3 linked regions of the Drosophila melanogaster genome follow. The protein of the gene in region 1 interacts with the protein of each later gene in a pairwise test. Each region holds a gene or a part of one and is shown in the gene's direction. Other genes may lie near its edges.

Evidence for each region.
Region 2: the proteins of CG13005 (region 1) and Rcc1 interact in a two-hybrid assay, tested with the Drosophila melanogaster proteins (one large-scale study listed by BioGRID).
Region 3: the proteins of CG13005 (region 1) and CG14931 interact in a two-hybrid assay, tested with the Drosophila melanogaster proteins (one large-scale study listed by BioGRID).

What each region holds. Positions count from the first base shown.
Region 1 is NC_004354.4:16,802,010-16,806,385, forward strand, and holds CG13005 (uncharacterized protein), read left to right. Parts: upstream 1-1,640; 5' UTR 1,641-1,750; coding exon 1,751-1,983; intron 1,984-2,061; coding exon 2,062-3,271; 3' UTR 3,272-3,745; downstream 3,746-4,376. Other genes in the region: Rai1 (Rat1 interacting protein 1), read right to left, coding at 28-460, 548-1,242; ppk28 (pickpocket 28), read left to right, coding at 4,298-4,376.
Region 2 is NT_037436.4:5,929,647-5,934,500, reverse strand, and holds Rcc1 (regulator of chromosome condensation 1), read left to right. Parts: upstream 1-1,727; 5' UTR 1,728-2,095; intron 2,096-2,183; 5' UTR 2,184-2,219; coding exon 2,220-2,883; intron 2,884-2,942; coding exon 2,943-3,922; 3' UTR 3,923-4,239; downstream 4,240-4,854. Other genes in the region: Egfrap (EGFR adaptor protein), read left to right, coding at 1-96, 167-447, 510-731. UniProt on the Drosophila melanogaster protein: Promotes the exchange of Ran-bound GDP by GTP. Involved in the regulation of onset of chromosome condensation in the S phase. Binds to chromatin.
Region 3 is NT_033779.5:11,786,771-11,790,075, forward strand, and holds CG14931 (uncharacterized protein), read left to right. Parts: upstream 1-1,563; 5' UTR 1,564-1,771; coding exon 1,772-1,820; intron 1,821-1,882; coding exon 1,883-2,007; intron 2,008-2,063; coding exon 2,064-2,561; 3' UTR 2,562-2,705; downstream 2,706-3,305. Other genes in the region: CG14932 (uncharacterized protein), read left to right, coding at 3,234-3,235, 3,289-3,305.

The sequences.
Region 1 (4,376 bases):
GTTGTTTAGAAAATGTTATGCATTGCCTTAGGAGCGCGTTTTGAGCAAATCTCGATACCAGTTGGGCAGGATTTGATGTTCCGGACCGCGCAGCACTTCGTAGCTGGCGTGCTTATTTAAAAAAGTCACCTGGACCACCGCAAACGGATCGTTAATGTTCACCAGCAGCTTCTTAAGATTGCGCAGAAACTGTTCCAGGTACCAAGCCATTGCCGATGCACTCCACGGTTTGTTGCGGGCCAGTGTTGCCACATCGATCTCATCGATCCTCTGCAGCATGCCCTTGGTGTCGCGGAGTCCCACGTAGAGCGTAGTGATGCCCACCAGGAATGACTGACTCCACCAGTTGGCAGACTTGAACGATTTGAAGGTGCGAATTTGGTGAGGGTTCATATTGAAGACGCTGGTCTTTAGCTCTACGAATTTCAATGAGTCGAGCACTCTGCAATCTTTGAAGTCACTAATGGGATTCGTGTAAGTGTATACACAAATAATGAATGGATGGAACATTAATCATTCATAAGTATTTAAACCCTGGACCACTCACACTGGCTCCTTGCTGTCCACACAGTCCAGTTCGGCGCCGTATAGCATCAAAATCCCGGCCAGGTTCGTGCGGTACACGCCCATGAACTCCTCTGCCTCGTTGACCGGCACATTGGTCACCGGTTTTCCCTGCGCCTGGGCACTGGTCAGGTACTGCTCGAACTTGAAGCCCCAGGAGCACATGACCCGCTGTGCCCTGCTCATGTTCGCGTTCTCCAGCTGCTGCTCTGGGGTTTCCTCCTTGCACATGTAGACGTTGCCGTTCAGGAGCGTCGCCTTGACGCGGAATGAGCGATTATCATACTGCAGGCACATTATCTGCCGCAAAATACCGCGCAGTGTTACAAAGTCGCTGTCCAGGCGTAGATTTCTCGCATCGGAGCTACTCTGACGGAGCAGCTCCTTCTGGTGTTGCTTAATGTAGGTCAGCATAATTTCCAGATCCCGTTTGCCGTTCTCGACGGGCTTACGGATCACATCCTCTATACCCCCGTTAAGATCGAACGGCAGCGGTGGCCACGGTTGGCCAGCCAAGTAGCTGGCGCAGCTGGCGTCGTCCACAAATTCCCGGCTAGCGTTTATGCTGCACACACCGATGCACTTCGGGCGGCTTATCGAGGGAAACGGCGTATTGTACATCGCGCCCAGCTTGTGCTGCCCCCAGGGCACACTGATGAAGCCCGCGTTCTCGGCCATTTCCTTCGCCTCCGCGGATTTTCCAAGTTCAAACTATAATTATCCGGAAAATAACGCTAATATTTATTAGAGGTGGAGAAAAATCGCAAACATCGATGTTTTTCGAGGAATCATCGATTATTTTCTTTCTCCACTGCGCAACTAAATGGGCTAAGACCTTGGGAAATGGTTGTGGTGAGAATCAAGTGTAGGCGATTAGTATCGAAAGCTAAATTGTATTAAAAATGGGATGATGATGTGCTTATTAATTTTAATGTAATAAGTGAACGCTAATGATGATAGTACCTCGATGAAGAGAAAAAATTTTGACTCTTAGATTTGCTTTATGTTCTGTTTGAGCACGTCTATTCACCACGAGGTATTTGCAAGCTTAAATCAAACAATTTGTGTGACCACAGTCATGGGAATCTAAGAATATACTAAATACCAAAATAACACGAAATCCGATTCGGTTTTGTTCATAGATTTGTTTTTATGTTTATTTGTAACCACCAAACGTGGCTGGCCAATGAAGCATCTCCTGGAGGATCCCTCGGTCCTGGCCGAGCTGCAGGTGCTGCCGGATAAGACCGGTGGTGTACAGGATCGACAGGAGGCCGCCAAGAATCCTGCAGAGAATTCCGTGCCCGACGAAGATTTGCCGGCTGCAGGAGGCGATTTGCTACGCGTTAAGGATACTCTGGGCCAGCTGGCCTGCAGTCTGCACAAGCTGTCCAAAAACGATCACATAGTCATCGATCGGTGGGTAGTAATCCCTATTTTTTGGAGCTTTCATTCACCTTCTCTGATCACGTTCCGTGATCTTTTATTCCTGTGCAGAAAGCGCCATCAGGTGATTCGCACAGATGCGGCTACGCAACAATTAACGATTTACCGCTGTCCGGATCCCGCCGTCATGGGGATTCGCCCGGCGATAGAGAAAAATGCCCAGAATCCGCCTGCCAAAGTGGGTAGACCATCGAAAAGAGCCTGTTCGGTTGCCACCGCTCCTGTGGCGAAGAAACCAACACTAGCGGAGCAAAAACCTGCTCCCGACACCCATCGCACTAGATCCGGTCGCCAGGTGCGCAGCTTGATGCCACAGCCCGCTCCCGTGACCAGTGGCTCAGCGGTTGAGCCAAGTTCTGCCCGCATGCTTGAGATGCTGGTGGCCGACTTGCGGGACAAGGACTACCGGGCACCCATGGCAGCGCCGAAAAGCACGAGTGTCAGCAGCAGCGTCAGTATAAGCCAGGAACCGACCACAACGACAACCATCCAACGAGCCGTGCCCAAAAATGCCGTTTGTCCCGGCTGTGGAAAGATCTTTTTGGGACGCCGTCTGCAGCGTCACTTTGTCAAATTCCCAGAGCACATGCCGCGTCCGGGCGAGCAGACACCACCTGTAGCTGTAGCTACAGTACCATCAACGGTTCATCCTCCCTCCACGCCGTCGCTGTTCGGCCTTCTGACCGCCCAACTGCAGCGGCATTCCCATCTCAGCGAGGAACAGCGCTCTGATCTCTTTCTTAACGAACTTAACGACTTTGTGGAGCAGCTGCAATTGCGCAGCCAACGGCTTATACGGAATACCTCTGGACTGCATTTTGTAAATGCACGAATTGCACGAGTTTTGGGCATACCCGAGGGTCAGTATGCGTTGGATATGTCCGCCATGGAGTCGCCGCTGGCACCGATGCCGGAATCAGAGGGAGCGGCCTTGGTTGCCGGCAGCGGTAGTGAAGGAGCCCGCAATCTGGTGGTCTACGCAGAGTTGAGCATGTCGCTGGACGATCCGCTCACAGACGAGGCTGCACAGCGTCTCAATCTATCGGCGGGCGGTCAACTTCATCCGCCTTCCGAGGAGAGTCTGCTTAGAAACGTCAGCGATCTTATGCAGCCGCCAGTGGCAACTGCTCCTCCGACTGTGAACCATGGCTACGATCATGCCAGCGATAATGCCGTGGAGGCCCTGACCATGAAGGAAACGCCCAACACAGAGGCTATTCTCGATCTCAACGTGGACTTCTTCCAGTTCAATCCGAATTAGAAGGGACAAATGTATAGAAAGCGCTTAGCTAGCAATGGAGATGAAGAATTCTATGATAGAGTGAAAGGTATTTCAACTACTTTTTAACTTGAACACTGAAAAGGTTCTAAAATATGAAAGTTTAAAACATTTATTTTATTTATCGTGCATATTGCATGAAGAAAGTCTCTGAAAATTGAAACGAACTTTTCTAAGTAGATTAAAATGTATTAATGGAGTATGTAAATATAGAAATAGGGATCTCTTAGATACATTTTGGTATTGTATTTTGAATTTTTACTGAATATTAATATTGAAATTGTATAATTTGAAAAGTAACCTCATATAACCTCCAGCCAAAAATCTATGCAATTAGTACGCAAATGTAAATGGTTGAGTGGCAAAAATGCCGCATGCGGATGGAGATTATTTATGAAGTACTTAACTGGCTAACGAAAGATGCCTATTAAATGAATTTATCTTCCTTGATTTTTGAAATTGTTGCGTTATTATTTGCTGGAACATTTGGAAGTGAATAAAAATCCTGGCCAATTTAGTTTAATGTATATATGCTTGTGGTTTCTAGCAGCTTTTCATACTTTTCATTTGTGTTTACTGCAAGTCAATTAAATTGATCGCAATTTTAATGGCGTTCAGCTAAATGGTAAATTTCTGTGAAAAATTATTATTGCTTTTAGTACAAAGCTGCTGCTTAAATAAATCCCTTTCAATACCTGTGTGTATTACAATATCTAGAATATCTTTATTGAAAAGCGTGCGTGTATCTATGTTTACTTTCAGGTGTAAAGTTTATTTGCCACGATGTAATCATATTTTCTGGCCATCCACTTGATTTTCAAAATACGTGGAGGATGGCAAGGGGGTGGCTAAAATCAATTTGGCAGTTATCACTGCAAATGGACGACCGTGTTTGCCTTGGTTCAATATGATTAAAGCTGATGACCGCCATGGAATTGCACCTAAAAGTGCAGTCAGAAAGTGACCTATAAATAGCGGAGATTCAAAGAAGTGCGGACGTAGTGCATTATGAGGACGTTGACGGAAAGCAGGCGGCGCCAAAGTGGCTCCTCCGGGTGCAAAAAGGACTCCGAGTCGGATGACGATG
Region 2 (4,854 bases), on another chromosome or scaffold:
GCCGCCAGTCACTGTCCGCACTGGAGAGTGCCACCCAGCGGCTGCAGGTGGAGCTGCCCGCCGCCAGCAAAAAGTATCTGAGAGAGACGTGCAGCGGTAGGTAGACTCTTATGTCACAGATATGAAATGGTTGGCTAAGGTTACCTTACTTCCGTGTAATTATCAGCCAACTCCAGTCCGAAATTGTTTCCCGGCCACAGTGCCCTGCGCCTGGATAATCTCAGCCTAGCCGAGCAGCAGGAGCTTAAGGGAGCCGCCTGGTTTCAAGCGGGCATTCCCAGGGAAATATCCCTGGAGGCCCTGTCCCGACAGAGTCCAGGTGCGTTTCTAGTGCGCCAGAGCAGCACAAAGCCGGGATGTTTCGCCCTCTCGCTGCGAGTGCCACCACCTTCACCACGAGTGGCCCACTATCTGATCCTGCGGACGCAAAGGGGCTACAAGATAAAGGTAAGTCCGAGCACATTATATATAATATTTATTATATATTATGATGGTATTTACCATTTTAGGGCTTCACCAAGGAGTTCAGTTCGCTGAAGGCGCTGATCACGCACCACTCGGTGATGCCGGAACTGTTGCCCGTGCCGCTGACCCTGCCACGCCCACCTAGTACCCGATCGCAACGATCGCAGGGCGCCTACGCAGGCGGAACCGGAAACGGGGGAGCGGACTTCGAGATGTATGGCTCGCTGAACGACTTTCGCAAAATGATGGCCGATTTGAATGTGTGACCGCTGGGCGCTCTTAATTAATTAAGTAATTATGTCACGTTGATTGAATTAAGCTGCCCAGCTTGTCACATTGTCCTGCGTCCTGTGTCCTCTGTCGCGACAGGATAACAATCTGTTTAATTTGCGTAATTGGCTGTGCTGACGACGGTTGACGTGGCTACCAATAAATAGGGTCCATGTCCATGTGTACTCGGGCCGGCAAAGGCCCACCTGTCCGACAGGTGCTGCAAAAAGTGCACAAACATTTTTTATTAAAATTGATAATAAAATCAGCTACGTGGGCGGCTGCGATGGCTGTGGTTTCGCAGGGGCGTGTTTGCATACACAAATATAGGGAATACGCTCAAATCATTTTTGCGAAACTGATTAAAAAATGGCAAAAACATGCAATATGTATACGCAAACAGACATCAAGTGATTATTATTTTTCGCGTTTTTATCAATTCTGCTCGTTTTGTACGGCTAGTGCTGAGTGGCAGATGCATCAGACAGACGTACTATACATATCTGAATGGGGGCAGTCGGATTAAATGTTAATGTTTGGGTAGGGAAATCGAGGGTCGGCTGCCGGGATTTGGAGTGCGGATGCGGAATGGGCAAAGTGGATTCTTTTTGTATTTGATGCACTCACTTTGCGGTGCAGTGGCTAGATAGACTTATATGGGAAGTAAATGAATAACCAATTATATTGTAACTCTATGTATTTTGTAATAAAGTTAATGGAAAACCTTTTCAAATAGTATTGTTTATTTTCTGATCTATAGCATGCAATATACATACAATCACGTTGAAAATGAAGCATTGGCTTAAAGGTAGAACATTTTATAATATTTAACAACAAATTTGTTTTGAAATAATGTGAGTGGGTAAGGAAAGTTTAAATTTCCCGCACATTATCGATAGCTCTTTCGATAGAATCGGTCGGCAATCGGCTCGCAAACTCGCTAGAGAACTGTTAACCAACTGTCATAGTTTGAGTTCACGCTACGCTCCATTCTAAAAGTTATCAATATCTCGAAATAAATAAACTGTGGGTTATAGCAGGCTTTGTTTTATTATTTGCAATTAGGAACAGTGCAAAGATAACAAAGATGTACTAACAATTGGTCAATAGGCGCAGAAGCGACCCTGAAATTGGAGTGTGACCTCGCTAATAGCCAGATGCGGCGGGGAATTCGCCAAGCCCGCAACACTGTACCCTGAAGGCCAGCTGCCGCCGCTTCCCGCGCATTTTCTTCGACCCAGGTAGGTCGCATTGGGATTCGCTTGCATTTGGTGTTTTCACTCGCCTCCAAACCGCCGTAGCAACACCATCTAGACAACGTGGAACTCCCGCTGAACCAGAGACCGGCATTATTTCCATTGTGAGTGTGAGCAGAACTAAGCTGCATCACCGGCGTCCCTAACCTTATATATATTTCTTACACACACACACAAACGCACTATTTCCAGTTTCGGTGACAAAAAATTGTGAAAATACAAGCTAAAATGCCGCGCAGAAAGGCCCTGACTAATAACAACAATGCCGGCGAAGCGGAGCAGCAGCCACCGAAGGCGAAGCGCGCCAGAATCGCTTTTCATCTGGAGCTGCCCAAGCGGAGGACCGTGCTCGGCAACGTGCTAGTCTGCGGCAACGGCGATGTGGGCCAACTTGGTCTCGGCGAGGACATACTGGAGCGCAAGCGTCTCAGCCCTGTGGCGGGCATCCCGGATGCCGTGGACATATCCGCCGGTGGCATGCACAACCTGGTGCTGACCAAGTCAGGGGACATTTACTCATTCGGTTGCAATGACGAAGGTGCTCTAGGCCGTGACACCAGCGAGGATGGCAGCGAGTCAAAGCCGGATCTTATCGATTTGCCCGGCAAGGCTCTGTGCATTTCGGCGGGAGACTCGCATTCCGCTTGTCTGCTGGAGGATGGCCGTGTCTTCGCTTGGGGCTCGTTCCGGGACTCTCATGGCAACATGGGCCTCACCATCGATGGTAACAAGCGTACGCCCATCGATCTGATGGAGGGCACTGTCTGTTGTAGCATCGCGTCCGGCGCCGATCATTTGGTCATCCTGACCACTGCCGGAAAGGTCTTTACCGTGGGCTGCGCTGAGCAGGGACAACTCGGCCGGCTGTCGGAGCGTTCCATCTCCGGAGAGGGTAAGTCTTGGCATTCAAATTTTCAACGAAATTCGTATTAAAAAAATGTTAACCCCCAGGTCGTCGTGGCAAACGCGACTTGCTGCGGCCCACCCAGCTCATCATCACGCGGGCCAAACCTTTTGAGGCCATCTGGGCCACCAACTACTGCACATTCATGCGCGAGTCACAGACACAGGTCATCTGGGCCACAGGGCTTAACAACTTCAAGCAGCTGGCCCACGAGACAAAGGGCAAGGAGTTCGCACTGACGCCCATCAAGACGGAACTCAAAGATATCCGACATATTGCCGGCGGTCAGCACCATACTGTCATCCTGACAACGGACCTTAAGTGTTCCGTAGTGGGTCGTCCGGAGTACGGTCGGCTTGGTCTGGGCGATGTCAAGGATGTTGTGGAGAAGCCAACGATTGTAAAGAAGCTGACCGAAAAGATTGTGTCCGTTGGATGTGGCGAAGTCTGTTCCTATGCCGTTACAATTGATGGCAAACTGTATTCCTGGGGCTCCGGTGTCAACAATCAACTAGGCGTTGGCGACGGCGATGATGAGCTCGAACCGATCGTGGTTGTCAGCAAGAACACGCAGGGGAAGCACATGCTGCTCGCATCTGGCGGTGGTCAGCACGCAATCTTTTTGGTCAAAGCGGACAAACAGGACCAGAAGGAGAATGTTCCAGTGAAGGTGTCTGGCAGCAGCAGCATCAGTAAAAAGGACAAGACCCCGCCGCAGGATAATGTCGACAAGGAAGCCGAGAATGTAGATAAGCAGGAGCAGAAGGAAAACTTGCCGGCGAAGGCGTCAACCAGCAGCAAAAAGAACAAGACGCCGCCGCAGGATAATGCCGACAAGGAAGCCGAGAATGTAGATAAGCAGGAGCAGAAGGAAAACTTGCCGGCGAAGGCGTCAACCAGCAGCAAAAAGATTAAGACGCCGCCGCAGGATGATGCCGCCGAGGAGGTCGAAGAGGAGTCTGCTCAGGAACCGACTCCCAAGAAGGCCAAGAAGCCTGCTGCCAAGCGGGGCGGTAAAAAGACATAAGATTGAGTATAAATACGCTGACTTTCCCACTTTGTTTTTGGTAACACTAAGTTACGAACCCGTACGCTTACCCTACGCTTAAGGAAGGCAATGAGTAGCCCAGATTCGTAAGATAGATCGGAAATTTTGCTTATTGTACGTTAAGATCTACGAACTGAATCCTGTTAAGTTCTTTTTATTTTGATAAATAGATGCCCGCTTATATCTTACAAGTCTGCCTAAAGACGAAAACTTCTTTATCAATCCAACTAAGTGTTTATTATATATATTCGTTCGCAATACGAAGCCGTAGTAAATTTGTATTTGAACGCAAAAGGAAACTAAATGAGATTTATTTACAAACTAATTAACTTGATTATATCATACACAAAGATATACATCCTACTCACAGTGTATTATAAATTCTTGGCTCAGGCGGGGCAAATGGGAGATTACCGGCAAAAAAGCTACAAAAGATTGGGAGATTGTCTCGTAAGCGCGAGACATCATTTACTCAATAATATCAGGAAACACGAAATTGTTACTCTTATGGTAGGTCTTAAGATTTATACAAAAATATGTATTTGCTTGGAGGGTGGTTCGATTTGCAATGAAGGGAAACATCTTAAAATTACCTTTAAAAGCAAAGGTGTCTAAACAATTCGCAGGACCCGGGAATTCATGAATGCAAGCCATTGAAGTATGTAAGAAGGCTTTAATATTTGTAGTTTTCATACCTGGCAAGGGTCAAAATGGATTATTACGTGTACAGAGGTGAACAAGTTGCATTTACTGCTGAACAAATCGAACCACCCTGGCATGCACAGTTGAGGGTTTTGGCTTCACTACGAGTAGTAACACGGCTGACGATTGCCTCTGCCTGAGTCGACTGTGGCTAGGGAGGTGGTTATGGTAGTGGTGGTGGAGTTTCCGCCGTAGTTGCTTCCCAGGTA
Region 3 (3,305 bases), on another chromosome or scaffold:
GCCGGAAAGCTGGCGAGCAAAAGTTAATGGCGAAAATCCTTTAGTCCCCCACCATAATGAAAACATAAAACGGAGCCACTAAAAGCAAATCGACAGCGGCACATATTTGCTAATCCAATAAGTGTTAGCTGCTTCACTGCCTGCGAAAAGGGGTGGGGCATTAAAGGGTTAAAGGAACGCATAAAATTTGAATACATTTTCGCCACTCAGAACGCTTAAACTCGTTACCTTAGCTAACGCAAATAATTCAAGTCGACGTTTTATTTTATTTTTTGTTGCCCTGTCAAACGTGTTTCGCGGTAATTGAACGGACTTTAAATGCCAGCCAAAAACTGTACAAAATGCGGGCTAACACAAACGGCTTTGGTCCAGGTTTTTCTTCTATTCTCAATTTTTTTTTTTTTCATTCTTTTTTTTATTTATTTGCCTTTGACGTGCCACTAAAACTGAGGTTTGGGTGGGTCGACGGCGAGGGGAAAGTAAAGCCAAATGCAGTTGGGACTCAATGGCGACTCCTATGCAAAAGAAGCAATGCTCGCCAACGCGACGACATCGAAACTTTTCCTATTTTTTGTGCTTTTATTTTTGGTGTCGCTGGTTTTAACCAGCAAAATAATTTGGTTATATAGAAAATAGTATCAGGAAAAAAGTTATGCCCAAAATATAACAAGAAAATAATGTAAATACCTTGAAAAATATGAAAAACCAAAATAAATTGTATAAAATATGTAAATATATGGAATATAATAAATTATATATTTTTGTTTTTTAAAAAACTTAACAAGGTACACATGTAACGTAAATTCTTTTTTTAACCTATCTAAATTAAGGCACGAAAAATTTACGAATGCTATTAAATAGGTTTTCATAAGCCTGCATATTTCTGAAGCACCCCAGTCCGTGTATGATCTCAAAATATTCAGGGTATTATGACTTTCCATGGGGACAAAGTCGAGCTGAAAACTGCCCCACAGAAAGAACAATTTTCGGGTCGAAAAGGCGCTCCATGGCAGCGAAAATGGCAAACTGACTTCAAGTGGCATTTTGACATTTTGTTGAATTTCAACTCGCTTTTCGTTTTGGGATGCAACGATGGGGTCCGAGGTATGTATGTAAAAAGTGAAAGGGGCGTGTTCAGGGGGCCAGAAAACTCGCAGGTGGCTGGGCATGCAAACGAAATGCAAAGAGACGCATATTTTTTTACTTAAATTAGAAAAACAATTGCCAGCGTTGTGGGTAGTGAAAGCTGCAACTTTGGTCAGCAGGTTGACCACACAAAAAGTTCGCAAAGTATTTACTTTTTTCACGATGCATTTCAACTTCGCAGAGCTGGTGTTAAAACTTCGCCATTTTGGAGCCCAGCTTTTTACCCATAAATTGTTTTTTAAGTGTAATACCAAACGAAGTTTAAAGGCTTTTTGTTGAGGTAATTAAAAGACTGGACTTAAATTACGAGGAAAACATATACAATTTTATCAAGTTACATTATAGAACTTAATCACTTATATCACTTTATAATAACCACAACATTTTCAGAGCCTTATCGTTTTTTTTTTTTTTTAAATAGTTTTTAATATTTTCACATACAACTCGAAAACTTGTTGCACCATCTCTAAGTGTGACCATTACTTGAGATCACATCTTAACTATCGATATGGCGTTATAGACGATTTCAGTTTGGCGAAAAGTTCCGTTAGCAGCAAGAACAAGAGCAAATGCATTGTAACCACATAATATTAGTACTAAAGTTGTTGTTTTTGTCCCATTGAAAATGGAGTTACGCAGCCGAACAAACAGGAGATTAGTTGACTTCCTCAAAAGTAAGATATTCTAAATTAGACGTCCTTAACATACATACATATATAACTAACTATTTGCTCAGGCGCAGGCGTTTACGAGGAAGGCATGGATATTGAGGAAATGACCGAATTAGCAAGTGTCGTGCAGCAATCAGCTAGTATCAGTCCCCAGGATGAGGATCTAGAAAGGGCTCTGCACGTGGGAAAAGTATTCAGTTAACAATAAACAATAAATAGTAATTAGCTTCTCATTAATGTCGACAGGAGAGCGAGTCTGATTTTTTGACTTCGCATCCCAGTGCTTTGCACAACTCCACGATGATCATGTCGCCGCAAGTGTCCAGAAGAAATCCCTCAGACATGGACAGTCCACCGAGCGAGCCGATCCGTATAACTTTTCGGGCTTTGGTGCACCGTGCCATGGACTGGAGTCCCACCACGGGCAATCAAATTCCCGATCGCAAGCGCATTGCTGCGGATCGCAATCAAAACGTCGAACTAGTTGGCAAACGTTCCAGAGCAACGCCGGCTATCAGCATTGGCCAGGCACCGGAGGATGAGCCGCACAATGCCGACGCCACACCCGTTTCCCCGGGCAACGAATGCGACTCCGGCGTCAGCTGGGAGGAGATATCTTTGTCCAGCGCCAGCGATAGCACCACTCTTCCTTCCATCGGCGAAATGCCCGATCGACATTTAATCAGCACCAGCAGCGTCGCCGTCTCGGATTTCTCAGATGCCAATGAAATCAGCCAGGAATAGGCTATTTCCGCCCATGTCTTGTGGTTTATGTTTCCCAATCGAATGCAGTAGAGATTTTACAATGTTTATAGCCCACATATGTCTAAGAAAGAGTACTCGAATAAGTTAACTATATGTCACATTAAAGGATTGAATTTATTGCATAATTGTGGCTTGTGTTTTTGGTCGAGCTGTATTTATTCCAATTCCAGTTTCCTTAACTATTTAGTCATAAGCATGTCAAGTTCAATAAAAACGAACACCCAATATATAAAAACATTTCCAAAGGTGGAATTAAATTGTGATGGCTTGACTTTACATAAATATGTATAATTACATTTGTATTTGGAAGTTTGTAAATTAAGCCTGTTGTACAACACTGGTACGTCTTTTTATAGGAATTTAAACTTTTTATGTTTAACTGCCATTTTAAGGCTAAACTTAACCAAAATTTTAAGGCTCAAATTTACCAAAACCTTTAGTATAAATTTCTATTTTTACTAAATGTTAAGAACACGTGACTTGAGCTTTAACTGAATTTTATATATTAATTACATATGCTCCAGTAAGTTTTCAACAGTATTTTGATCAACACTGATGTTCTTATTAAACATTCCTTGGAGTGGACACACTGGCCGCACGGCTTTTCACATTGTCATTTTCCAGGAGCTAGGCGTTGAAAATTTGTTAAAAATGTAATTAAAATTAAAGCAGTTCATTAAATATATTGATGGATTATTCATTGCAGGTCCCAATCAAAGGTTC